4 linked regions of the Saccharomyces cerevisiae S288C genome follow. The protein of the gene in region 3 interacts with the protein of the main gene of each other region in a biochemical or structural test. Each region holds a gene or a part of one and is shown on either strand. Other genes may lie near its edges. The genes, in order: PTP3, FAR1, FUS3 and PTP1.

What was found.
Region 1: of the proteins of FUS3 (region 3) and PTP3, one has a biochemical effect on the other in vitro, tested with the Saccharomyces cerevisiae proteins (2 studies listed by BioGRID, with this or other methods).
Region 2: of the proteins of FUS3 (region 3) and FAR1, one has a biochemical effect on the other in vitro, tested with the Saccharomyces cerevisiae proteins (4 studies listed by BioGRID, with this or other methods).
Region 4: the proteins of FUS3 (region 3) and PTP1 form a complex in vitro, tested with the Saccharomyces cerevisiae proteins (one study listed by BioGRID).

The regions. Positions count from the first base shown.
Region 1 is NC_001137.3:307,913-316,818, forward strand, and holds PTP3 (tyrosine protein phosphatase PTP3), read right to left. Parts: upstream 3,288-8,906; coding exon 501-3,287; downstream 1-500. Other genes in the region: YOS1 (Yos1p), read left to right, coding at 1-44, 156-211; YER076C (uncharacterized protein), read right to left, coding at 4,678-5,586; MRX1 (Mrx1p), read right to left, coding at 6,622-8,688; ICP55 (aminopeptidase), read right to left, coding at 8,895-8,906. UniProt on the Saccharomyces cerevisiae protein: Major phosphatase responsible for tyrosine dephosphorylation of MAP kinases FUS3 and HOG1 to inactivate their activity; it also has important roles, along with MSG5, in the inactivation of FUS3 following pheromone stimulation.
Region 2 is NC_001142.9:122,420-127,919, reverse strand, and holds FAR1 (cyclin-dependent protein serine/threonine kinase inhibiting protein FAR1), read left to right. Parts: upstream 1-1,591; coding exon 1,592-4,084; downstream 4,085-5,500. Other genes in the region: SSY5 (Ssy5p), read left to right, coding at 1-1,067; CIS3 (Cis3p), read left to right, coding at 4,972-5,500. UniProt on the Saccharomyces cerevisiae protein: Inhibitor of the cyclin-dependent kinase CDC28. Necessary for cell cycle arrest. Involved in pheromone response. Contributes to mating efficiency. Required for oriented polarization of yeast cells in response to mating pheromones.
Region 3 is NC_001134.8:188,437-195,812, reverse strand, and holds FUS3 (mitogen-activated serine/threonine-protein kinase FUS3), read right to left. Parts: upstream 3,363-7,376; coding exon 2,301-3,362; downstream 1-2,300. Other genes in the region: ACH1 (acetyl-CoA hydrolase), read right to left, coding at 111-1,691; PEP1 (type I sorting receptor), read left to right, coding at 4,230-7,376. UniProt on the Saccharomyces cerevisiae protein: Together with closely related KSS1, FUS3 is the final kinase in the signal transduction cascade regulating activation/repression of the mating and filamentation pathways, induced by pheromone and nitrogen/carbon limitation, respectively.
Region 4 is NC_001136.10:39,075-44,207, forward strand, and holds PTP1 (tyrosine protein phosphatase PTP1), read left to right. Parts: upstream 1-3,625; coding exon 3,626-4,633; downstream 4,634-5,133. Other genes in the region: BRE4 (Bre4p), read right to left, coding at 1-3,170; Hsp70 family ATPase SSB1, read left to right, coding at 4,991-5,133. UniProt on the Saccharomyces cerevisiae protein: Is not required for vegetative growth.

The sequences.
Region 1 (8,906 bases), on a different chromosome or scaffold from region 3:
CAAGGTTGTTCAATTGATTGGCGCCGTACAGACATTACTGAGGAGTATGTTATGTTGATGGAGAACGGTTAAAGTTACATTTCATCAGTTTTTTCCCGTTCTTTTTCACCTTTTGTGAGAAAATTTTACTAACGTTTCGTATATTATTCTTGTAGTACCATTAATTGGAATAAATATACTGGTGATTGTTTATGAATTACTATTGGGATGAACTAAGCGTACGAAGCAAATATTACATACTACTATATACAAGAAACAGGCTCTAATAGTTTTTTTTTCCCTTCACCTTTTCGGTTTTAGCTTTATTATAAAAGATATGAACAAAACCTCCAAGGGTAGTGGTAGCATGGTATGTGAAATTAGAGAGTTCATGCATAACTTGAAATGAAAATAATACTCTGTTACGTAGCTAACTACTGCCAAATATGTATCGAAAATATCAATTATTAAGGGGTTTCGTATTAATAAAATAGAGATCAAATACATTCATATTAGCCTAACTATTGTGGCAATTCTTTCAACTTATCATCCACGAATGTCTGCAAGATCTCTAATTTTTCGATTTGTTCAATTAATGCACTTAATGATATATTGTCCTTGTTACTTCCATCACCATCCGTTCTCTCTGTTATGTCATCAAGACGTAATCTAAAGTAAAATAGCAAGCAGTCATAAATGAAAATAAATTGATTAATGTTCTGGACCATGGATATTCGTTGCTTTCTAAAAATATTAATTGTCCATGAAATTGGATCGAATAACTTTGCCGGGTATTTTAATTTAACAAACTCTTTCTGCAACATTTCAAACATTTCGAAATTGGATAGAATGGAATCAATGGTACACAAAGTACCAGTCCTTCCACAACCTGCGGAACAATGAACCAAAATGGTAGGAAGTTGGTCGTTTTGATAGTAATTTCTGGCAAATAGTGTATCTATTATGTGATTCTTGACATTGATTGCTTGTAAGATTGAGATAGGATTGAGTAAAGTGCCCAAATCAGGCCAATTTTTCACCTGAATCTGTAACAATTCATAAGGTTTCTCTTGATCATGATATGTTAGCAGAATTTTTCTTATGAGAATTGCGTCATCATCATCATCATCATCATCATCACAAGCAGCAGCAGTAACAGCAATATTACTATTGTTATTGTTATTATTATTGTTGTCATTATCATTATCATTATCAGTACTATAGTTACTACTATTTCCCTGAACACCAGCTGAATATAAACTACTATTTTGTGTTCCCATAGTATTTTTCCTCATGCTAGTAGTGCTAGGCATCTTTAATATTTTTTTTTCTAACAATTTAACGTGAATACCGTTATAATTACCTTCTTGCCAATATCGATAACATTTCTCAATGCCATTTTCGAAATCATTTGTCAATGAGAGAACCAACGGAACGCCATTATTCAATATGCATGTATAAAAGTCATGTACAGTGGAGGGCATTGGAGCTTGCGTCGCTATATAGCGCACTCTTCTTGTTGTGGTTGTAGTTGTTTGAAATGACGAATTTTGCTCTACAGAAAACCTTGGCAGAGACAAATAGTTTGCGTTGATATAATTGTCGAGGATGCCACCATCGGAAGTAGAATGTGAATGCTTGATACCTTTTGATGATTGCAAACCTTTTTTTAGAATCACTCTCGAATGCTCGTAGGGAAAAATATCCTTGTACCTGTTCTTGGCTCCTAATTCAACGCCTGATGATATTATAACGTCATCTGACTCCGAATCGGAATCTGATTCAAGGCTGAGCATCGATTTATATTTACTGTATTGAGTGAAGATTGGCTGAGAATGCGACCTCTTTTGTACTTTGTTCACGTCAGGAAATTTTGGAGGCATGATTGTTGAAGAAGAAGTTGATGTTAACTGTTCAGGATATGATGATGGCTTTTCAAGTATAAACGAGTTTTCCTTCTTCCTGAAAGAGACAGAATGGTTCAAGCGCCTTTTTTCCAAAAAATCTAATTTTTGAAACTGAGAAACCAACTCGATCTTGGGTATTGACATCAGATGCTGGAACCATTCAGGTATAACGGAGTCAATGACCTCCTTTTCGTAATTTTTGCTCAGGTTTTCGTATCTGATCTGAAACCCTAGTTTGTCTTTATTAGTGTCCTTTTCTAGAGAATTTTGGTTCTTTGGGAATTGGAAGTTTTGTAAAGATTTTTTGGCAGAATCGTTATTATACCATCTTTCATGTTCTTCTTTGATGTTGACTGCACTCAAATACGTCTCTAAACCCATTATTTCTTCATTTTGCGAAAATTTGAACATTTGGTTTATGTTTGTTTGTGGTGCAGGCAGCTGGAACTTAAATAAGGCAGATATGGGGGAAGAAGAAGACATGGGAGAATCTGATAGGACGTTACGCGGAGAGGGAGAACTGGAAAAGTTTGAATGATCTGACCTACTATCGTCAGGAACTTTCAACTTAAGGTTCATTTGCGGAGACGATAGTGGTGTTGTCGCCGTCATATGCGGCGCTGTGTTGTGTAGACTGTTCATAAGGTTTGTCTTGGGGCTTTTAGGTTCAGCCGAACTAATGCAATCTGAGTTAAATGTGTTGGTGTTTATATGGTCTGGAAATAGAATTTTGAATTGAGGAAAACCACACATTAGTATAGACACGGTTTTTTTAACATTAGTATCAAACTCTATTAGCTTGGACGCTATTCCATAACAAGGTAAAGAAACAGAACTTTCCGTTTGATTTGCGGTGCTATCATAAATGATAATCCGAAGGTTATCGATGGCCAGTTTAGATTTCAACACGCTTTGCTCGCTAGGAGTTAAGTTGTCCAAGAGTTTGGAAAAGGTGAAATTTTTCCTCCTCAGCAGCGTGGAAGGCAAACATACATGAATGGAGTTTGTGATAATGGATTTGGCATGTTCGGTAAACGGCCTAACATCAAGTAAGAGCACCTTTTCATCTGGTAAGGTTTCAATAATCTTGCCCAGTTCTACAGCAGTAATTAGCGAACAACCCTGCGGCTTATTATATCGCTGTTCCTTGGGCTTGAAGCTTGGCAGGACAGGAGCGGTCGCCCTCTTCAATAACACCGGCGAAGATGTCTTATAGCTCACCAAAGGGCTACTGGCTTTGGGGCTGTGGTATATGTTGCTGTTCATGCTGTTATGATAACTGTTCATAGGAGCATGCCTCGAATATACATGCGAACTCGATCCGACCAAAGTGCTAGTCTCGGAAAGCACTGAAGTGCGGTCGGTGGGTAGAATGCTTGGGCAGTCTACACTGTCCTTCATGTTCTATATGATAAGTAGATCTGTGTTGCTGATGGAGAAGGGAGATACAATACGGATTTTCTATGAACTTTGCAGTGATAAGAGCACCTACGCTATTATAACACCGATGTTAGAATAATATGCAAGTTTGTGGTCTGTGTATACAGTTCTTTGTTTGTGCTTGAAGTGATGATGTTACATGTCAAAGAAAGAAAACCGCTAAGGTCAATGAAAATATAGTGTTACATCCGCCGGTGCAAATGGCGAGGAGAAGATTGGACTCTTGCGCATCGAACACTACCTATCTGCATCCATCCATGCCAGGTGCGCAAACTGTTGGGTCTGGCTAACACCACATTCTCGCTGCGCTGTGTTCTCCGATGACGTTTTGCCGCAAAATATTTTTTTCATGAAGGTCTTTTCTTTTCGTTCAGCGTCAGCGGGCCCAAATCTCAAAGTCGCCGCCATTCTGTTTAATGTTTAAAGTTTCCGCTCACTACACCAAGATGGCAGCAGGAGATGCCAGAAAAAGCGTGGGGTCTGGTCTGGTTAGATATTAGAAGTACATACACATCGGTGGGTGTGTAGCAGTGGCGACACATAAAATGGCCATAATGGGGGTGATTTTACGTATAGCATACATAGACATCTGTCGTTGAGGTTCGCTACCAGTGAACGGATTTAACGAGCAAGCAGCGAAAGTAGCCGAAAACCTCTTATTGTTAATAGTCATTTAGCAGCCGTTCTGCTGCTGTTTTCCTGTGGGGTGAGGTGGGCTGTGATTCGGTAAACTCGCTTGCGGTCTAACAAAAACAGAGAAAAACTTGGTACAAAAAGATTTCATTGGACGCAACCGGAATCGAACCGATGACCTCTTCCTTGCAAGGGAAGCGCGCTACCAACTGCGCCATGTGCCCAGAATTTCTGTATGTGTTGGATCTCAACACGGGGTACCTCCGTATAAGCAATTTTAACCCGTAGATGATTTTAGAGTTTCGTTCCTACACGCATGAAAAAGGTAAGATTGAGTATGCCTAAGATGAACCAATCAAAGTTATAAATACCTGAAGAAATGAGTTTAGATCTGTTGGATGGTGAAACATAAAAAACAGAATGAGGAATAATCGTAATATTTTTATGTAGAAATATCAAGTCCATTGTAAGGATTCTAATATCCTCGAGGAGAACTTCTAGTATATTCTGTATACATAATATTATTGCCTTTATCAACAACGGAATCCCAACAATCATCTCAAAGTTCACCAAAAGTCTCAAGATCCGACTTAAATCTTATATAATATGTAGAATTGCCTGCAAAAGTGTACGATTTTACAATAAAAAACGTCGAATTAGCTTTTCGCATACGTCTCAACCAAGAGGAGAGCGGTAAAAATTATGGGAAACTCAATCGTTAACCTTGCGCCTGATCAAAACAATCATTAATAGCCATATTATTTTTATCAACTTCTGGACAGTCAATACTCCAGGGATAATAATGGGACCAAGCATCATTGGCAACTACTCTCAGCTCGGCACGCCAAGAATCACCGTGGCTATAGGTAACACAAAACGCTGTCTTGCCGTGATTGTGCATACTGGATACTGAAACACGAACTGCACATGTTAAATTTCCTTCAGAGGCTGTAATATCACAGCTACTGTTTGTTGACCACGTCTTGACAAACAAACTCCAACCCTCTTGCCCATCAAAAAAGATATTCGTGAACTCCTGGCTGCCGCAAAACTTCTTGTCACCGCTCCCGTGAACGGCCCATGCTACCCATTGCGCTATGTAGCTGTTCAAATTAGTCGTAAGAGTTGTGGAAGAGACGGCCCTATTGTACAACCTAGACCAAGTTCTTACCTCCACTCCGTAAAACTTGGCTCTACAGAGGGTAGATTCACCTGTTTCCTGGTTGCGGTTGTATTGCAGGTCTGCTGGTGTTTCCACAGAACCATCGACGGCTACATTAATGGCATTACTGATACTTATTGCCGTGACGTCATTTTGAAGTTGCTCGACGAGACTATGCTGAGTGAAGTTGGCTGCTTGGGTAGTTATATTACTGATAATGTTAGGGTATTCAGTAGCATCACGCTTGTTGAAGGACTCAGGTACAGTACCATTTGCAGTTAATCCTATCGTCTGGTAAAATTCAACCATAGAAACTGGAGCGATTGCCAAATCATCGTCCATTTGCCAGAATCCTGATGGCAAGCCCTGGCTTTCACCGCCCGTCAGGTAGATCTCAGCACGTGTGCATGCGCATAACAATAAGATCGCATAAAAAAATGAGACGGTATAGTATCCTGAGGTCATTTTTCTCCCTTGGATTGATTGCTTGCTTTTGTATCTTTCTTATAATAGTTCTTTCAGAAGAGCCCAATATGCGGTTATTATATAAGTTAAGTTACGGCTATGTGAAGATTTTGAATAATGTAAAACTGTTAGAAAGCATTGCCTCTTGTATAAGATGTGGTCGCATTACTTCAGTTAATGACTTGAACCAGTTTGTTTTTCAATCCACGGCTGTATTCTTCACTAATAAAACCGATTAGCGGGAGTCAGGGAAATAGAAAGAATATTTGCAAATGGAGCACCATTTTAGAATTAATTTTTTTTCAGTGCTCACAGGTTGATGATAATGACAAAATATTTTGTTCTTTAGAATTATTTACATATTGTTTAGAGATGAACGATTATTCACACTTATTACTATATTGGTTTAAAATGGTTAACAGTTTGCTCGAGATATCAACACAATCTAGTCTTACATAAAACTTTCTTTTTTGTCCCTGGAAATCTGGCGCAAACCCTTTTTCATAGGATTGACTTAAAATAGTTGAAGAGCGATTTCTCTTGCAAAAAAAGGTGCTAACCCTTCTTACTTTGGTTTATTTTCGTGTTGGAACAAGTAGTACAAAAATATACAGGCGAGTTGATATAATAACATTATGTGCGTTCTCATCGTATACTTAGGCACATCTCTTATACGCTTATATATAATTGCAACAGTAACAGAATAATGAAACTGTTAAAAGCAATATGTAGACAATGACGCAATTGAGTTACAGATCCAATATATACGTGGAAAATATGAGTTGTTACACTGAACATGTTATATTTACCTGACATACCACTATATTGTACTGATGATACTTAAGACGTGCCAATTGCGCGTGTTATATGAACCTCTCCTTCATAGTATAGGAAGATGTACTTTCATTCTTAATTAACACCACCTTTGAATAATTTATCATCAGTAACTTTCAATTAACAAAAAAAATAGGAAAAAAATTTGAAAAAACCTCAAAACTATGTACATATTGAAAGGAGTAAATAATCAATTTTTACTTAAAACTTGTCATAGCTGGTTTCAAGTATCAGCTCGGCCAAGTCCTCCATGATGCGCTCTTCACTGGTACTTGTATTTTCGCTATCACCCTTCCTTCTTGAGTTGCCTTCAATGTCCGCTAAATCTTCCAGTAATATTTGCTTCAGCCTCAAAAGGTGCCTTCTGGCAAGAAACTTCTTTCTTTCCGTGCCTTTTAAACTGGCTATTTCCTCACTGTCCAGTGACGGAAGCTTGATTCTCTCGGTTAAAACCTTGACTAAACGAATTCCCTCCAACGTAACAAACCGCTTGTCTTCTATGCTCGCTTTAAATTCCTTCCCGAACTCACCATTCAATAAAGATTTCAAGTATTCATCTAGTATACTTTTCAGTTCCACTGTAGACACTTTATCATTCATGTTCAGATTTTTAACGATAGGAAACAGGAACTTCCATGAATTAAACCTGTAAACTTTGCCGTTCAACTTTGATGAGTATGTGGCCTCTACGCTATCTATAAACCCCCGAATCTTGTGCAAAGTAGCTTCAGCATTTGATGCATCTTTGTTTATAACGGCCTTGAGACTTTGTCTTTGGAATGCGTTGTACACCAAAATTAACGTCCTCCTGGTTATTGAGATTTGTGCCGACGAGGCTACCCGTTCATAAATGTCCAGACACTCGTCGCCGCAAGTGATGGGCCTCGTTGTTATGACAGTTTCCATGTATTTGTGGTATATGCTCTGATCTAACATTTGGTTGTTCTGTGCCTCTAATGTCTTAAATATTTCCATAGCAAGATCATATTCCTTGTTTTTCAAACAGTAATTCATAAACAATCCCACAACATGTTTGTTGAGAGGAAATGGCTTATTGATGTTCCAATGACTTAGTGGAACTAACGTAGGAAAATCGCTTTGTGTCAAATACTTCTTGAAAATGGTCTTATCAAATTGAAAATATTCACAGAGGGCCCATAGTCCCATTCCTTGCTTCTCAATCTTTGGTGACTTCTGGCTACATATTACTTCACAGTACTCAAATAACAATTTAGAATCGACACAATAGTCTGGTATTTTATTCATCAAATCATTGAGTACCACCATAAAACGTTTCTCATCGGCAATCCTGGTACAAGATCTTATCATTAAGGTATATGTAATACTATCCTTTTTCAAACCTGGGCACTTTTTATTAAGAAGTTTGAACACTAGTGTTTCATCGGTACAATTTATCAGTGCCGCCAAAGCGGTATTATATTCTATTTCCGTGAGCTCATTTTTGTCACACAAACTATCTATAGTCTTCAAAACAAGTTCTCCGTATTTTTTTGAGACCAAATTTTCTTGTTTTGAGAGCCCATTAAAGAGGATTGTGATGGAATGTTGATCAATAGGGACTCCCCATTTTTTTCGCCAATTGAAGATATCTACAGCACTTTGTTGGGACTGCACAACTTCGATATAATATTTCATAATCAAATTCATCCCAACGACGCCTTTCTTTTTAGCTAGCCTAGCCAAAAAGACAGCTTTTTCCAGTTGTCCTCTTTTCAAAAATTTTTGAACATCATTGGCGATTAATTTGGAATCACGTAACTGTTCTCCATTGACGCCTAGTATGGTATAAAAGAGTCTCTTATCTTTGGTTAAGGATAGGAACTTCAAGTCGCTTTGGCTAGTTGGCCCCAGTTTTGTATCTGCTAATGCCTCATTATTTATTTTATGAAATTTTCGAAGAATATGAAAAGCTTGATCCTTGGGGTATGCTGTCTTTTGCAGTTTTTTCAATTGTCTTCTTTTCTTAGAATTTATCCTTTCCAATTGTTTGGATGTTTTATTTAATATGAAACCGTGACGTTCTAGCTCATGTAGTCTTTCTTTTACTTGAGTTTTCTGTAGATTTGTCAGTGAATGAAAAGATCTTCTCAGCAGATGCTCTGTGAGATTAATTGCAGTGTTTATTCGGGGTAGCATTCTAGTAAATATACAAGTGTCTACACCTATTCTTGAAGACTGCGATGACTTTGAGGATGATTGATTCAGATCCTTGGTTCTCAGCTGTCCTTTTGTAATTTTTAGACCCATCTTTATTTTGCCGTAACTAAAAATAAAAACTAAAGAGCAGTGCCCAAGAAGAAGAGGAAAAAAACAAAAAGAAAGCTGAAGAAAAGTATCTCAAGATATTTTCAGTAAATTTTTTTTTTTTTGAATTTTCCGTTTAATATTAAAAGACCTTAAATCGATAAGTTATGTATCTGTATATACAGGGTGTACTCAATTTAGCAATAACATTACAGTGGTGC
Region 2 (5,500 bases), on a different chromosome or scaffold from region 3:
TGTTTGGCTTACCCAACTTGCAACATGAACACTATGAAATGATAAAGGTTCTTTATTCGTTGTTCCCAGATGTACACATGTATTGTGTGAAAGATTACATTAAAAAAGCTGCATCAGCAGTAGGCAGTATTCCGTCTCATACCGCAGCAACTATCGATACAATAGCCCCAACTAAATTTCAGTTTTCCCCCCCATATGCAGTTTCAGAGAATCCACTTGAATTGCCAATTTCTATGTCTTTATCCACTGAGACAAGCGCTAAAATTACAGGTACTTTAGGGGGTTATCTATTCCCTCAGACTGGTAGTGATAAAAAATTTTCTCAATTTGCAAGCTGCTCATTTGCCATTACTTGCGCCCACGTTGTATTATCTGAGAAGCAAGATTATCCAAACGTCATGGTACCTTCTAATGTTTTACAGACTTCTTACAAGAAAGTTTTAACGAAAGAATCAGATAGGTATCCTGATGGTTCGGTGGAGAAAACAGCATTTTTGGAGGAAGTGCAAAGAATAGATCAAAACTTGAACTGGCAGAAATCAAACAAATTTGGTCAAGTAGTTTGGGGCGAGAGAGCAATCGTAGATCACAGATTATCAGATTTTGCTATTATCAAAGTTAATTCATCATTCAAATGTCAGAATACCCTAGGTAATGGCTTAAAATCATTCCCAGATCCAACATTAAGATTTCAAAATTTACATGTGAAACGAAAAATTTTTAAAATGAAGCCTGGGATGAAAGTATTTAAAATAGGGGCTTCTACGGGATACACTTCAGGCGAGTTAAATTCTACAAAATTAGTTTATTGGGCCGACGGAAAGTTACAAAGTAGCGAGTTTGTCGTTGCATCTCCAACTCCTTTATTTGCTAGTGCGGGGGATTCAGGCGCATGGATCTTGACCAAGTTAGAAGATCGTCTAGGTTTGGGGCTTGTTGGTATGTTGCATTCATACGATGGTGAACAGAGGCAGTTTGGTTTGTTCACACCTATAGGTGATATCCTGGAGAGACTACATGCTGTAACTAAAATTCAATGGGACATTGATCCACAACTAGATGGATGATTTGCCTTTTTGAAGTTATTTAACCCATTACAGGATGAAAAAAAAAAGACATTGCACTTGCATCACTGTAGGAGCGACTATAAAACTCACCTTCATTGTTGCTTTATTTTTCCAAGTAAGGAAAAATATCTGTTTACTTTCATTTACCTCTTTGGTTTTGTTAGGCGGGCAAGAGAGACCCGGTCGTTTCAGAATGCAACTTTCTTTTGTTTGCATATCTTTTTTTTTCAGCGATGCAATTTTCAACATGCAGCCATTTCACCGAAAATACCTAAAAAGGAAATAGGCAATAAAATGACATCGTAAAGGTTTCAAATGCGAAGGTACCTTGGTTCACAGTATATAATATATTCAAATTATTAAAAGAAAATAAAACTATCCTTTTTGTTCACTCTGTCTTGAGAGTGTATATTATCTTATCTATTCAAAAAATTTCTATTTACTTTTATATTTCTTGACCATCCTTTACACAAAGTCTATAGATCCACTGGAAAGCTTCGTGGGCGTAAGAAGGCAATCTATTAATGAAGACACCAACAAGAGTTTCGTTTGAAAAAAAAATACACACTCCACCAAGTGGAGATCGTGACGCTGAAAGATCACCACCGAAGAAATTTCTAAGAGGTTTATCGGGTAAAGTTTTTAGAAAGACACCAGAATTTAAGAAGCAACAGATGCCCACATTTGGGTATATTGAAGAGAGTCAATTTACTCCAAATCTTGGCCTAATGATGTCCAAAAGAGGCAATATTCCTAAACCACTGAATCTTTCCAAGCCTATATCTCCCCCACCAAGTTTGAAGAAAACAGCGGGATCAGTAGCATCTGGTTTTTCGAAAACAGGACAACTTAGCGCTTTACAATCGCCAGTAAATATCACAAGTAGCAACAAATACAACATCAAAGCTACAAATTTAACTACTAGTTTACTCCGAGAGTCGATTTCTGATTCTACAACTATGTGTGATACTTTGTCAGACATCAATTTAACGGTTATGGATGAAGATTATCGCATTGACGGCGATTCATATTACGAAGAAGATTCACCAACTTTCATGATCAGCCTGGAAAGAAACATAAAAAAATGCAATTCACAATTCAGTCCAAAAAGGTACATAGGTGAGAAATGTTTAATCTGTGAGGAAAGTATTAGTTCCACATTTACCGGTGAAAAGGTTGTGGAGTCTACGTGTTCACACACTAGCCACTATAACTGTTATTTGATGCTATTTGAAACTCTTTATTTCCAAGGCAAGTTTCCTGAGTGTAAGATATGTGGCGAAGTGAGCAAGCCAAAGGATAAAGACATTGTTCCTGAAATGGTATCCAAACTTCTAACGGGCGCAGGCGCTCATGATGATGGTCCGTCATCCAATATGCAACAGCAATGGATTGATTTGAAAACGGCGAGAAGCTTCACAGGTGAATTTCCTCAGTTTACACCACAGGAGCAGCTCATTCGTACTGCTGATATTTCATGTGATGGGTTCAGGACACCACGCTTATCGAATAGCAATCAATTTGAGGCCGTTAGCTATCTTGATAGCCCATTTTTAAATTCACCATTCGTTAATAAAATGGCAACTACAGACCCTTTTGATTTAAGTGATGATGAAAAACTGGACTGTGATGATGAAATAGACGAAAGTGCTGCTGAAGTGTGGTTTAGTAAAACGGGTGGTGAACATGTTATGGTCAGTGTGAAGTTTCAAGAAATGCGGACCAGTGATGATTTAGGGGTCTTGCAAGATGTGAATCATGTGGACCACGAAGAACTAGAGGAAAGGGAAAAGGAATGGAAAAAGAAAATTGATCAATATATCGAAACAAATGTGGATAAGGATAGCGAATTTGGCAGTTTGATCTTGTTTGACAAACTAATGTATTCTGATGATGGCGAACAATGGGTAGACAATAACCTTGTAATATTATTCTCCAAATTTCTAGTTTTGTTTGATTTTGAAGAAATGAAGATCCTGGGTAAGATTCCTAGAGACCAGTTTTACCAGGTAATCAAGTTCAATGAGGACGTACTACTTTGTAGTTTGAAGAGCACTAATATACCTGAAATATACTTGAGGTTCAACGAAAACTGCGAAAAGTGGTTGCTTCCCAAATGGAAGTATTGTCTAGAAAATTCTTCACTGGAGACACTACCATTAAGTGAGATTGTTTCTACAGTGAAGGAACTCTCTCATGTGAATATAATAGGCGCTTTAGGAGCGCCGCCTGATGTTATATCAGCACAATCCCATGATTCTCGTCTACCGTGGAAAAGATTGCACAGTGATACGCCGCTAAAACTTATTGTATGTTTGAATTTGTCGCATGCTGATGGGGAACTGTATCGCAAGAGAGTTCTAAAGAGTGTTCATCAAATATTGGATGGATTAAACACAGACGATTTACTGGGAATAGTTGTTGTTGGAAGAGATGGATCCGGTGTAGTAGGCCCATTTGGCACCTTCATCGGAATGATAAATAAAAATTGGGACGGATGGACAACTTTCTTGGATAATTTAGAAGTGGTTAATCCAAACGTCTTCCGCGATGAAAAGCAACAGTATAAGGTAACATTACAAACTTGTGAAAGATTAGCGTCAACAAGTGCATACGTGGATACAGATGACCATATTGCAACTGGATACGCCAAGCAAATCTTGGTCCTCAACGGGAGTGACGTTGTTGACATTGAGCATGATCAGAAATTAAAAAAGGCCTTTGACCAGTTATCTTACCATTGGAGATACGAAATTTCGCAACGCCGCATGACTCCATTGAACGCTAGCATTAAGCAGTTTTTAGAGGAGCTGCACACTAAGCGTTATCTAGATGTAACTCTTCGTCTACCACAAGCTACATTCGAGCAAGTATATTTGGGGGATATGGCTGCGGGTGAACAAAAAACGCGTCTAATTATGGATGAACACCCGCATTCTAGTTTGATAGAAATAGAATATTTTGACCTGGTAAAGCAGCAAAGAATTCATCAGACCCTGGAAGTTCCCAACCTCTAGTAGTTCGGGAATCGAGGCCCGTATTTCGAGGCTTTTGCTTTTCCTTTTTTTTTTTTCGTTTCTCCACGTCTATACTACGCAATGACTGAATATATATAATGCGTCGTAAATAGCAGTTAATGTATAAATAGAAATTGAGTAAACTTTAATTTTGCCTAAGAAAGAACCTATTGGCGATAATTAAATCTCGTCATATATGCACTATATATTTTTTTTCGTTTGGCGTTGTTTATCTATTTCCCGAACGGGATTATTTCCCTGAATTAGTTCATAATGAAAAAAACTCGCAGCCGGGTAACCCTCTTCGTACCAAAAATGCACGTGTCTGTACACAATTATACCAACATGGTTGTAGCATTTCAAGTTAGCTTGTTCGAGCTGTATAGTAAAAGAAACGTCGATGTGGCTAATTTGTTCCGGTGACTTTCAGGTCACGTGTTTTCCATGCGTGCGTTGCTTCTTCCTGCAAATCCACGGCTCGTAAAAGAGGACAATCAGCTTTTTTCCGTGGTGCCTGGCCGGGCCGCCTATGCATTCCATACGATTTCCACGGGCCAGATCCCGCCTAGCCCTTCCAGCTTTTCTTTTTCCCCTTTTGCTACGGTCGAGACACGGTCGCCCAAAAGAAACGGGTCAGCGTGTACTGCGCCAAAAAAATTCGCGCCGATTTAAGCTAAACGTCCACAAACAAAAACAAAAATAAGAAATAGGTTGACAGTGGGTGAAAAATTCTCGAAGGTTTCATCTCCAAACAGTCAGTATATAAGTATTCGGGAAAGAGAGCCAATCTATCTTGTGGTGGGTCTATCTTAACCTTCTCTTTTTGGCAGTAGTAATTGTAAATCAAGACACATAAAACTATTTCACTCGCTAAACTTACATCTAAAATGCAATTCAAAAACGTCGCCCTAGCTGCCTCCGTTGCTGCTCTATCCGCCACTGCTTCTGCTGAAGGTTACACTCCAGGTGAACCATGGTCCACCTTAACCCCAACCGGCTCCATCTCTTGTGGTGCTGCCGAATACACTACCACCTTTGGTATTGCTGTTCAAGCTATTACCTCTTCAAAAGCTAAGAGAGACGTTATCTCTCAAATTGGTGACGGTCAAGTCCAAGCCACTTCTGCTGCTACTGCTCAAGCCACCGATAGTCAAGCCCAAGCTACTACTACCGCTACCCCAACCAGCTCCGAAAAGATCTCTTCCTCTGCATCTAAAACATCTACTAATGCCACATCATCTTCTTGTGCCACTCCATCTTTGAAAGATAGCTCATGTAAGAATTCTGGTACCTTAGAATTGACCTTGAAGGACGGTGTTTTGACTGATGCCAAGGGTAGAATTGGTTCTATTGTTGCTAACAGACAATTCCAATTTGACGGTCCACCACCACAAGCCGGCGCCATCTACGCTGCCG
Region 3 (7,376 bases):
GCAAGAAAAAACAACGCATTGGATAAAAGCTTTATAAACATAAAATCATAATCATATCATTTCCTTTCTTTTTTTTGTTAAATACTCATCTCTCGGTTTGCGCACAAACACTAGTCAACTGGTTCCCAGCTGTCGACCTTCATTGTACCCTTTTCAGCTAAGTTGGTGTGGAACTTGAAAGCATTCTTTAGCATGTGTGGTTCATGCAAGCAATTGTGCTTTTTAGCGTAATGCTCTGCTCTGTCCAAGTAATCGGTCAACAAAGCTTGATAATCGGGATGAGCACACTTGTTGATGATTTCACGGGCTCTTTCCTTAGGCGATAGACCTCTTAGATCCGCCAAACCTTGGTCAGTGACCAAGATGTCCAGGTCATGCTCAGTTTGATCTACATGAGAGGCCATAGGAACAATGGTAGAGATACCGGTAGGGTCTACTTTAGTTGGTCTTGCAGAGGGGGCATGCATGATGGACAACTTTGCATTTCTCAAGAAATCAGCAGATCCACCCAACCCGTTCAACATACGGGAACCATTCACATTTGTAGAATTGGCGTGCGCGTAAATGTCAACTTCTACTGGGGTATTCATGGCGATGACACCCAATCTACGGATCATTTCCGGATTGTTCGAGACAACTTGAGATCTCAAACACAATCTGTGTTTGAAATTTTCCCAGTTTGCAAAGGCTCTGTCGAAACCCTTTTCAGTCAATCTCACGGAAGTAGCAGTGGCGTAGTCCAAAGATCCGTTCTCGAAAAGATCCAAGAACGAGTCCTGCAGCACTTCCGTCCATACAGTCAAGTGCTTGAATTGGGCGCCAGCAAGCCCTTCAATGACAGCGTTAGCAATGTTACCTATACCACTTTGTAAAGGCAGCAGGTTTTCAGGTAGCCTACCATGTTTTACCTCGTTTCTGAAAAACTCGACCAAATGACCTGCAATAGCCCTGGACATGTCGTCAGAGGGCGTATTTGGTGGGACCTGGTCCCTCATGGTGGACTCCACAATCGCAACAACCTTTTCAGGATCAACCGGGATGGAGTCAACACCACACTTGTCGTCCACTTTCAGATATGGGTATGGTTTCCTGAAAGGTGGGTTCACGGGCATGTCTATATCGTGAATACCCTCGAACGAAGGCGTAGCCGTGTTAACCTCAATAATCACTTTATCACTGACTGTAATGAATTCTGGAGAACCACCGACAGAGGGACCTGGGACGATAGACCCGTCCTCTTTAATGGCCGTTGCCTCGATTATAGTATAATCAAGGATTTTGTTGTCTTTTCTTTCCCTGGTGTAGAACCCGTATGTCAGATCCTGAGGGAACATGGACAGATGTTTATCAAAGAACTCAATTCTACCCTGGTTAATTGCCTTTGCAATGGGTTTCCCTACTTGATGAGGGGCTCTCTTAATGATCATGTCGTGTTCAGCCCAACGGTTTTCCTCTGGACCAGCAGAAGCTCCAACAAAAAGGTTGAATCTCAACTTCCCTTGTAAATTGTTCTTCTCCACGTGATCTATCAGTGCCTCCGGCACTGCCTTGGGAGTACCCACTCCTGTAAAACCGGACCACCCAAGGTACTGACCATTCTTGAACAATGGAATAAGCTCGTGAGCTTCCTTAACTTTTTTCAGATAGGGAGCATACCTAACTCTCTGCTTTAACAAATTAGAAATTGTCATTTTAGTGCAATATGTGAAAAAGAAAAAAAGAAATGTGTTGTTTGTTTTGCCGCTATTGTCTAGTAAGACGGTCTCTTGCTGCTTTGTGTGCTAATGTAAGCCCGGTGGGCACAAGACAAAAGAAGGGGTAGAACACATCTAACGTCTATATATACACAGCAACTTGATTACACATTTGCTCCAGCAAGCGCTTACCGTCCACAATACAGTGGTCATCCATACAATCACTACTTTGGTAGTTTGACGCTCCGATGGGATTGGCTGTTGCGGATGTGGTTGAGGGCGTTGTCCTCGAGGCCAATCAGCAGCGCGCATTGCCCGCCTTTGGCCCGGCGGGCCGCGCGTCGCAGGGGATGATGCTAGTCACCTATATGGATCACCCCTTGTGGTTCTTCATTTTTTTTTTCTTCAATTAACAGCCGCCGACGGCCCGTGGCGCGCGATCACGGAGTTGCGTAACTGCTCCCCTTAGCTCCATATAAGTATTGTCCTTTTATACGTCCGCGTCCTCAGCGGCTAATACGTATGTCATATGTACATATGTATATGTGTACGTATATGTATATGTATACATTGTTCTTCGGGTTGATATTTTAATGATAATGATGGCTAACTAAATATTTCGTTCCAAATGAGTTTCTTGAGGTCTTTCGTCGTTAGTGCCTCCTTGTAGTGATCAAACTCGAAGAAGCTGGGTGGGATGGGTTCGCCTTCAGGTTCGTCGTTTGGATCGTGGTATGTTTGCAAATACGGATGCTCCAGTGCCTCCTTAGCAGTAATCCTCTTCGCAGGGTCAAAAACAAGCATACGCTGTAAAAGATCTATGCCTTTCGGGTTGACTCGAGGGAACATCTTCTCCAGTGGCGCGGCAGGGTACATGGGAAGCGACTTTATGTACTCTCTAGCCCTGGGTGACTCTATACACCGCAAATCATTATCTGAGTGAGGTGTACCGATGATACCGAATATCAGTAGTAGTTGATGGCGATAATCTCTGCCAGGGAAGATTGGCCGTCTTAAGAAAAGTTCAGCGAGAATACATCCGCAGGACCACACGTCCATGGCCCTTGAGTATTTGGCAGAGGTTAACATCACCTCTGGCGCCCTGTACCAACGTGTGGCCACATACTCGGTCATGCCGCTTTGCTGACCTGTGGGCTCTGAATTGTCCGCGGCTGACTCGTCAATGATTCTTGCTAAACCGAAATCACATACTTTCAAGTCACAGTTGGAGTTTATGAGAAGGTTGGAGGGCTTTAAATCACGATGGATGACGTTCGAACCATGCAGCACTTTCACTGCTCTCAAGGTTTGGTATATAAAATATTGTATATGATCGTCACTCAGCATCTGGGTGGAGATTACACGGTGTAAATCTGTCTGCATTAGCTCTTGAATTATGTAGACCTCATTGAAGTTTTCGAACGAGTCAGGGCGTTGAATGTTGAAGATTGTTATGATATTTTCGTGCTTGAAGTGCTTCAGGATCTTTATTTCACGCAGCGTACGTAATGCGAACAAAGGCTTATCGAATGGTTCGATCTTTTTTATTGCCACGATTTCTCCCGTGGGCTTATGCGTTGCAGAACATACCACACCGTATGCACCCTCTCCCAGTAACGACTTCAACTGGAAGTCACTGGATATATTGTATACAATTCTCTTTGGCATATTATTTTCCTTTCTTTTTCTCTGCCTTATTTCCTTGTAGTTCAAACGAACTAGCTATTAGAAGAAAGAAAATGATTACAACGTATATATAGTTTCTGAGAGGCAAGAGTAAAAAGTTATGATATATTAGTATGTTGCTTTTCTGCAATTGTTTCAATGCCCTGTAAAAAACCGCATCATCTAAAATCTGAGAGAATGCAGAAACAAAAAAAAAAAAAGTAAAAATTTCGAGTAAAAGAATTTTGAGTTCCAGGGTGAAACAGATCTAAAACTCAAGAGCTTATGCATTGCTTGTAGGTACATCACATTTTACTTCAGAAAGATAAAAGAGTATGTGAAAGTAAACTGCCCTCTCCAGTTAACTCTTCCCAAACTAAAAAGTATCCGCCTGTGCGGACTACAAGCACTACCGCCCCTTGAATGAACACCAAAAGATGTGTGTAAGTTAAAAAGTCCGAACGAATTTATCCTTATGTATGTTCTTTTGAACGTCAAGTAGTCAATCTCTCCAACTACTCGGGTCTTTATATGGATCGCGTGATGTTTTAAGCCTTCTTTCCTCTAGTTTAGTGCAGTCGCTGCTTTTTTCTCGGGCTGAGTACGGCGAAAAGAAGGAAAAACCAAGGTCAAAAAATAACCTCTAAATAACAGCATGATGCAACAGCTCAAAAGACCTCTCAAGAAGCACAAAAAAAGGAGGCGAGTAGGTGGTACTATTTCATTCTACTAAGATCTTTAAAGCAATTCCTTTCCGGTTTTTTTCTCAACTACCGTACTCTTTTTCCTTTTTTATTTTGCCCTTAGATTGTATTATAAAGCTCTGTATATCTGGAAAAGCCCTGAAGTGTCCAGTAGTCATCACACGTTATGATATTACTTCATTTTGTCTATTCTCTTTGGGCCTTACTTCTCATTCCTTTAACTAATGCCGAAGAATTCACCCCCAAAGTGACAAAGACTATCGCGCAAGATTCATTTGATATATTAAGCTTTGATGATTCCAACACTTTAATTAGAAAACAAGACACCTCCGTTACTATAAGCTTTGACGATGGTGAAACATGGGAAAAAGTTGAAGGCATTGAAGGCGAAATCACTTGGATATACATCGACCCCTTCAATAGACATGACAGAGCCGTTGCAACGGCAATGAATGGGTCGTACCTTTATATAACCAATGATCAAGGTAAGTCATGGGAGCGTATAACGCTACCTGACTCCGGAGAAAGTATTTCACCTCGTGAATGCTATATAGAAACCCATCCCTTGAATAAGAACTATTTTCTTGCAAAGTGCAACTATTGTGAGAAAACAGAAGTAAACAATGACAATGAAGAGAATTCGGGGGACGAAGAGGGACAATTTGAAATATTTAATATTACACGTTGCACAGACAAGGTTTTTGCAAGTAATGATGGTGGAAAATCCTTTTCTGAGATCAAGTCTTCTCTAGAAAGGAACGAAAATAGTCCTATCAGCATTTCTGATTGTGGCTTTGCCAAGACCAGCAAAGATTCTGACCTTGAAAGTAGTGATACCTCAATAATCTGTCTTTTTCAAAATATGCAGCTTATTATGGATGAGTTTAGTTCTCCTTACACCGAAAGTAAATTGGTCCTAACTACGGACTGGGGCAAATCACTAAAAGAATTTGACCAATTTAAAGATAAGGTCGTCAATGGTTACAGGATATTGAAATCTCACATGGTTGTCTTAACCCAGGGCGACAGATATAATGATATGTCTTCCATGGATGTGTGGGTATCAAATGATCTGTCAAACTTTAAAATGGCTTACATGCCTACTCAGTTAAGGCATTCTATGCAAGGAGAAATATATGAGGACGCTATGGGAAGAATTATCTTGCCCATGAGTAGGGAAAGAAGTGATCAAGAGGAGGATAAGGGCATCGTGTCTGAAATTTTAATTTCCGACTCACAAGGGTTAAAATTTTCCCCCATCCCATGGACCGCAAATGAGGTGTTTGGTTATATTAATTTTTATCAACCTACTTACTTGAAAGGAACGATGATTGCCTCACTTTACCCTCTATCTAGGCGTCGTAACCGTAAAGGAAAAGCCAAAGGAGTAAAGAGTAAGGGGGTAACCAAAATATCTGTTGATAATGGCCTCACATGGACAATGTTAAAAGTTGTTGATCCAGATAACGCAGACTCATTCGACTGTGATATTACTGATTTTGAGAATTGTTCGCTTCAAAATATGTTTTACACACGGGAGGGTTCCACTCCAACCGCCGGAATTCTAATGACAACAGGTATTGTTGGCGATGGTAGTGTCTTCGACTGGGGAGATCAAAGAACCTTTATTTCTAGGGATGGTGGCTTAACATGGAAACTCGCCTTTGATTTTCCTTGTTTATACGCTGTTGGTGATTACGGAAATGTTATTGTGGCTATACCGTATAATGCGGATGAAGACGACGATCCTCAATCCGAATTTTATTACTCTTTAGACCAAGGTAAAACTTGGACCGAATATCAGCTAGAAACTACTATCTACCCAAATGAAGTAATGAATACAACGCCCGACGGATCTGGAGCTAAATTTATTCTAAATGGGTTTACTTTGGCGCATATGGATGGTACAACGAATTTCATCTATGCAATTGATTTTTCAACAGCCTTTAATGATAAGACATGCGAAGAAAATGATTTCGAGGATTGGAATTTAGCTGAGGGGAAGTGTGTCAATGGAGTCAAGTACAAGATCAGAAGAAGAAAACAGGACGCTCAGTGCTTGGTGAAGAAAGTTTTTGAAGACTTACAATTATTTGAGACTGCTTGTGACAAGTGTACCGAGGCTGATTACGAATGCGCGTTTGAATTTGTTAGGGACGCGACCGGGAAATGCGTACCAGACTACAACCTAATCGTTCTCTCTGACGTATGTGATAAGACAAAGAAAAAAACTGTGCCTGTAAAACCATTGCAACTAGTTAAAGGTGATAAATGTAAAAAACCAATGACAGTCAAATCAGTGGATATTTCGTGTGAGGGAGTTCCAAAGAAGGGAACGAATGATAAAGAAATAGTGGTTACAGAAAACAAATTTGATTTCAAGATTCAATTCTATCAATACTTTGACACAGTCACCGACGAATCCCTCCTCATGATCAATTCAAGAGGAGAAGCTTATATATCTCATGATGGTGGACAAACAATAAAAAGGTTCGACAGTAATGGTGAAACAATTATTGAAGTTGTGTTTAATCCATACTACAATTCTTCAGCTTATCTGTTTGGTTCCAAAGGTAGCATTTTCTCTACCCATGATAGGGGATACTCTTTTATGACTGCTAAATTGCCCGAGGCTAGGCAGTTAGGTATGCCATTAGACTTTAACGCTAAGGCACAGGATACATTTATCTATTATGGTGGTAAGAATTGTGAGTCAATCTTAAGTCCGGAATGTCATGCGGTAGCATACCTGACCAATGATGGGGGCGAAACGTTTACGGAAATGCTTGATAATGCAATTCATTGTGAGTTTGCGGGCTCACTTTTCAAATATCCGTCAAATGAGGATATGGTTATGTGTCAAGTGAAGGAAAAGTCTTCGCAGACAAGAAGCTTAGTTTCTTCTACTGATTTTTTCCAGGATGATAAAAATACCGTCTTTGAAAATATTATCGGCTACTTATCCACTGGTGGCTATATCATCGTTGCTGTTCCTCATGAGAACAACGAATTGAGAGCATACGTAACTATCGATGGTACTGAGTTTGCCGAGGCAAAATTCCCATATGATGAAGATGTTGGGAAGCAAGAGGCATTCACTATATTAGAGTCTGAGAAAGGATCGATATTCTTACATTTAGCAACAAACTTAGTACCAGGACGCGATTTTGGCAATCTTTTGAAATCCAACTCAAATGGTACTTCTTTTGTCACGTTGGAGCATGCCGTTAATAGAAACACATTCGGCTATGTTGACTTTGAAAAAATTCAAGGTCTCGAAGGCATTATTCTCACCAACATCGTTTCAAATAGT
Region 4 (5,133 bases), on a different chromosome or scaffold from region 3:
TTGAATAGGTTCTTCTCCATAGAATTGCCTCCTGAATTTAAATTCGAATGTGATTGGTCCTTCATTTCACTAAATTTCTTGATGAAGTGGTAAAGTTTTTTACGTGACATAATTGGATTTGGCAAGTATCGCGGTATCTTGTTTTTTGATCTGAAACAATTGGATAAAATGTAAAAAACGAAAATCACTGATGAGACACTATCTCTTCGTAGCGATAGTAAGGCTCTCGTGGTTTCAATATCAAAATCCTGATCCCAAATTTCAAAAAATGCACCTGAAATTCTCGCTTCAATGATCTTAGATAACAAAAATTGGCATGAATTGATTAGACTTGCGTACTTCTCAGGATTGAAGTTGGAAATAATGATTGGCTCATGACGGGCTTTCTTCAAAAGTTCCCTGATTGCTTCAAGACTTTGAGTCAGTCTAACTTCACGAATGTGGGAAAATGCGAAAGTTAAATCAGTAGGTGCGTCGTCGGCATCCCTGTATAAATACCGGTCCGCCACGGTTTGGTAGGACTGGCCCAAGTGTGCCAGTAATGATGACATACTATCTCTTAGTTCTGTCCTAGCTCTAAAGGGCCACACTATCCAGTTGATGGGAATCGAAACCAAAATACCGATAATAAGTGCCAAGCCTGTAACCCACGTAGATTTCCATATTCCAGCGGTGGTTAAGTTATAATGTCTATTAGGTTTGCTGTATGGTTCAAGAGCAATTATGGTAAAGCACATTAATGCAGTGAAGCTCGATTTGGTGTTTCTATAGACAAGAAAGTTGATGCTAAATGGGACCACGATCAGACCAGCAAACGTGCAAACCACGTATGGACTACCAAAATGTCTCGATTGGTTGGCAGCCCACCCCCAAAAGATACCTACTATACCACAGATTAATCTCCTCATTACCAACGCCCAGTTACCAGAGTATCTTCTATGTGCTAATAAGTAAAACGTGAGTGGGGCCCACCAACAATGAAATTCTTGGTACCAGTGATAGGATTCAGGTAGCCAAGTTGGTAGACACAAAAATATCATACAAAAAGTAATCTTTAGTGTCCACTTACATTCATCACCAGATAAAATTCTACTCAATTTCCATAGTTTAAATCTCCAAGGATTTTGAGTTGTATGAAAATTGAAGTCGTTGTGATCAATTGCTCTGATGGAAATAGTGTGGTTTTTGCGATTCTGTGACTTTTCGTCACCACCTTGTGAATCAAGTCTCAGCGCTTCTTCTTCGCCTTTGTTATACTTGTGTCTTGACGTGTAGGTGTTATAAACTCTTTCAAAAATTTCATCGACATCACGTTTGGCCTCAAAATAATGAAGAACATTTCCTGCACCTTCATCGAGAACACATTGTTTGGGCAATCTTGTCAACGCACGAGACAGTGGATATGATGGCAGAGCAATTCTCCAGTGAATATTCTCACCCAAAACTTGGCAATCGTGGATAACAGTAACTAGCTGCCTTGCGGAGTTTCTCAAATATCTTAGAAAAAGGAAAATATCGACAGACTCTTCGTCATTCAACAGTTCCTGTGAAAAAAAACTAGAATTCACAAAATCCCTGTAACAAACATCTAGTTTGTAAATTTTCCTCTTTAATTTAGAATGCGAGTGACTTAATATTTTGACACACTCATCTAAGTTGTTTTTTTGATTTGGAGACTCGTATTTCTTTAGTACTCTTGATAGATTTTCCAAAACGAAGATCATTTCCAGTATTAAGTTGAAGATGCTTTTCGAGAAGGACGCCTTTAATGCATTAATGTAGATTTCATTTTTTAAAAGCCCCGGACCGATAGGCTTAAAGGCACTGGGCGTGTTTTCTCTTGTTGGAATTCCTGAAGATTGAGGGCTAGCGCTTGCTTCTTTGCTCAGGGTCGCAGAATCCGATCTATACTTCTCCAATTCTTCATACATCTTTTTCAATTCATCATCATTAAAAATTTTGGGTGCAATGGGTAATACTCTCAGAGAAGTTTCCATGGCAGTTAAAGAATTTCTTAAACTCTTCAACGATTGAAGGTCAAACCTGGAAATTGTCAACTGATTTACAAAATCTCTAAAACCTTGAGATAAATCAATGTTTAGTGTTTTCACCATTTTTACTTGGGCTAGGTAAATTTGTTCTTTGGACTTTATTAATTCAGTATCTACTAGTGCCATTAAAAAGGTCTTTGTGGTCTGTAGACACTTGTTATAATGTTCCATTAACTCTGCATTGCCACTATGTGGTGATACACATACACAAACCAAGAGAGATAGCAAAAGGCCGAAGAGATATGAGATTCCAAAATCCCAAAAAATTTGCCACTTCAAATCAAACTTGGATGAGGCCAACCGAACTGTATGAGTGAATATAATCGATATCGAAAACGAAGTTGTGAAATAGAAGAACCGACGGTAAACAGACCTTAGCCAGATGGCAAATAAGAGGGCCATAGTCAGACTCTGAAATAAAATTCCTCCCTGGTAGTTTGCGGTCGGCTTTGTCGCTGTGGAAATGTACCATGCCAAAGCCGACCATCCCAGGCCAAAACTTGCGCCGATAATGGAGCTTATAGTCATTTCCAGTTGAACACCAATATTTCTGACCGGATGATGTATAAGTACTGCGATGGGTAGAAAATACCTGAACTCATGGCCAATCCACCTACCAGAAGGCCTGATAACGCAAATCACGATAGCAATGAAATAAGCAATAAAAAACTTGAATATGGATACCCCATTTTTTCTAATATCTCTAGGGAAATGAATAATGGGCCTGTAGATAGCAGTCCAAACATATTCGGAAAGCTTGGTAAAACCAGATTGCAGTTTTTTCCTTGCAGCGCCATTGTCGTCATCGATGTCGCTGTTAGGAGACCTAGCTTTGCTGTCCGGCTTGGTAAAAGCAGCATCAAAAAACCCATCTCTCAGCTCTTCCAGCCCAAAGTCCTCTACTTCCTCCCAGTGTTTGTCCTTAACCAAATTTTCCAGCCGCATTTGCGATAAGGATGCCACGGATTGTTGTGGGCTTCCTGCAAAGCTAAGCCCGCTTATACCGGCAGGATTCTTATAGTTAAGTTCATGTAGTGACCTGAGTGATGTTTGAGAGTATGAACCTTTCACAATATCAGGATCAGGAGTGGGACTTCGATCTCGCTCATATCTTTTCATGAGGACCTGTTACAATTCCAGCACTATACTGTACATGCTTTCCTTAGTGGAGCACAAAGCAAGTTAAAAATGAACTTTAAATTGATTAAAGTGTTAGTGACGCTTAAACTCGTTTTCCTGCGCGTATTTCACGCAATCTATACATAATCATCTTTGATAATGTTATATCGCCTTTCATTTCCAGATTTTGTTCACTGAAAAGTCTTATCGGAAACCTAACTTTGGGCGACAGGGTTATTGTTTATAATTTGTAGGTGTTCCATTTTTTTCTTTGTACTTTTTTAGGTTAACGTAATATTTAATTAGGTCATTTTTAGGGCGTTTAGTATTAGAAAAATTCATTTGTACACACTATTAAGAGGAAGGCAAACTATATTTACATTTTATTGAGGAAAAGGGTTCATCGAGGAGTTATCAAGAAAAGCGTTTGTTAGTAGTAGTTTGCGACAGTGGAGATGGCAGCTGCACCATGGTATATTAGACAGCGTGACACGGATTTATTGGGTAAATTCAAGTTCATACAGAATCAAGAAGACGGCAGATTAAGGGAAGCTACAAACGGAACGGTGAATTCACGATGGTCGTTGGGGGTCAGCATAGAACCTCGTAACGATGCTAGAAACAGATACGTTAACATTATGCCGTATGAGAGGAACCGCGTTCATTTGAAGACTCTATCCGGGAATGATTACATTAATGCCTCGTATGTCAAAGTGAACGTGCCAGGGCAGAGCATCGAACCGGGCTACTATATTGCTACTCAAGGTCCCACGCGTAAAACTTGGGATCAGTTTTGGCAAATGTGCTATCACAATTGTCCTTTAGACAATATTGTCATTGTGATGGTCACGCCTCTGGTAGAATACAATAGGGAGAAGTGCTACCAGTACTGGCCTCGCGGTGGTGTAGACGATACGGTTAGAATAGCATCAAAATGGGAAAGTCCGGGCGGCGCCAATGATATGACTCAATTTCCCTCTGATTTGAAAATAGAGTTTGTTAACGTACATAAGGTGAAGGACTATTATACGGTCACCGATATCAAACTCACACCCACGGACCCTCTTGTAGGACCTGTCAAAACTGTTCACCACTTTTACTTCGACCTTTGGAAAGATATGAACAAGCCAGAGGAAGTAGTACCCATAATGGAATTATGCGCTCACTCCCACAGCTTGAATTCCCGCGGGAACCCCATTATCGTACACTGTTCCGCAGGCGTGGGCAGAACGGGGACGTTCATTGCCCTAGATCATCTCATGCATGATACCTTGGATTTTAAAAATATTACAGAACGGTCAAGGCATTCAGACAGGGCTACAGAGGAGTACACACGGGACTTGATCGAACAGATCGTGTTACAGTTGCGCTCGCAAAGAATGAAAATGGTTCAGACAAAGGATCAGTTCCTATTTATCTACCATGCTGCCAAGTATCTTAACAGTCTTTCCGTGAACCAATAGACAGCTATATAAAAGTTCCTAATTGTGCATTTTTTCAATAACAATACTTATTCATCCTTATAATTATATTCTAGCTTCGTTGTCATGGGAACATAGCCCATACACCGCAGTTATTTATGATCATTTCGAACGGGAAGTATGGATGAATCTTTTTTTTTTTTTTTTTATAGCACGCAACTGAAAAAAAAAAAAAGAAAAATTTTTCATCTTCGCTCGACGTTTCTTTTGTAGTACTCATCTCTTTTTATATAAAGATTAATTAGTTATTGTCGCTTTGCTTTTCCTTCTTTAAAAAATGTTTCTTGCTTTTGGATTTTCAGATGTCCCAAGATCATTACAGTATTTTAATTGAACAAAATGGCTGAAGGTGTTTTCCAAGGTGCTATCGGTATCGATTTAGGTACAACCTACTCTTGTGTTGCTACTTACGAATCCTCCGTTGAAATTATTGCCAACGAACAAGGTAACAGAGTCACCCCATCTTTCGTTGCTTTCACTCC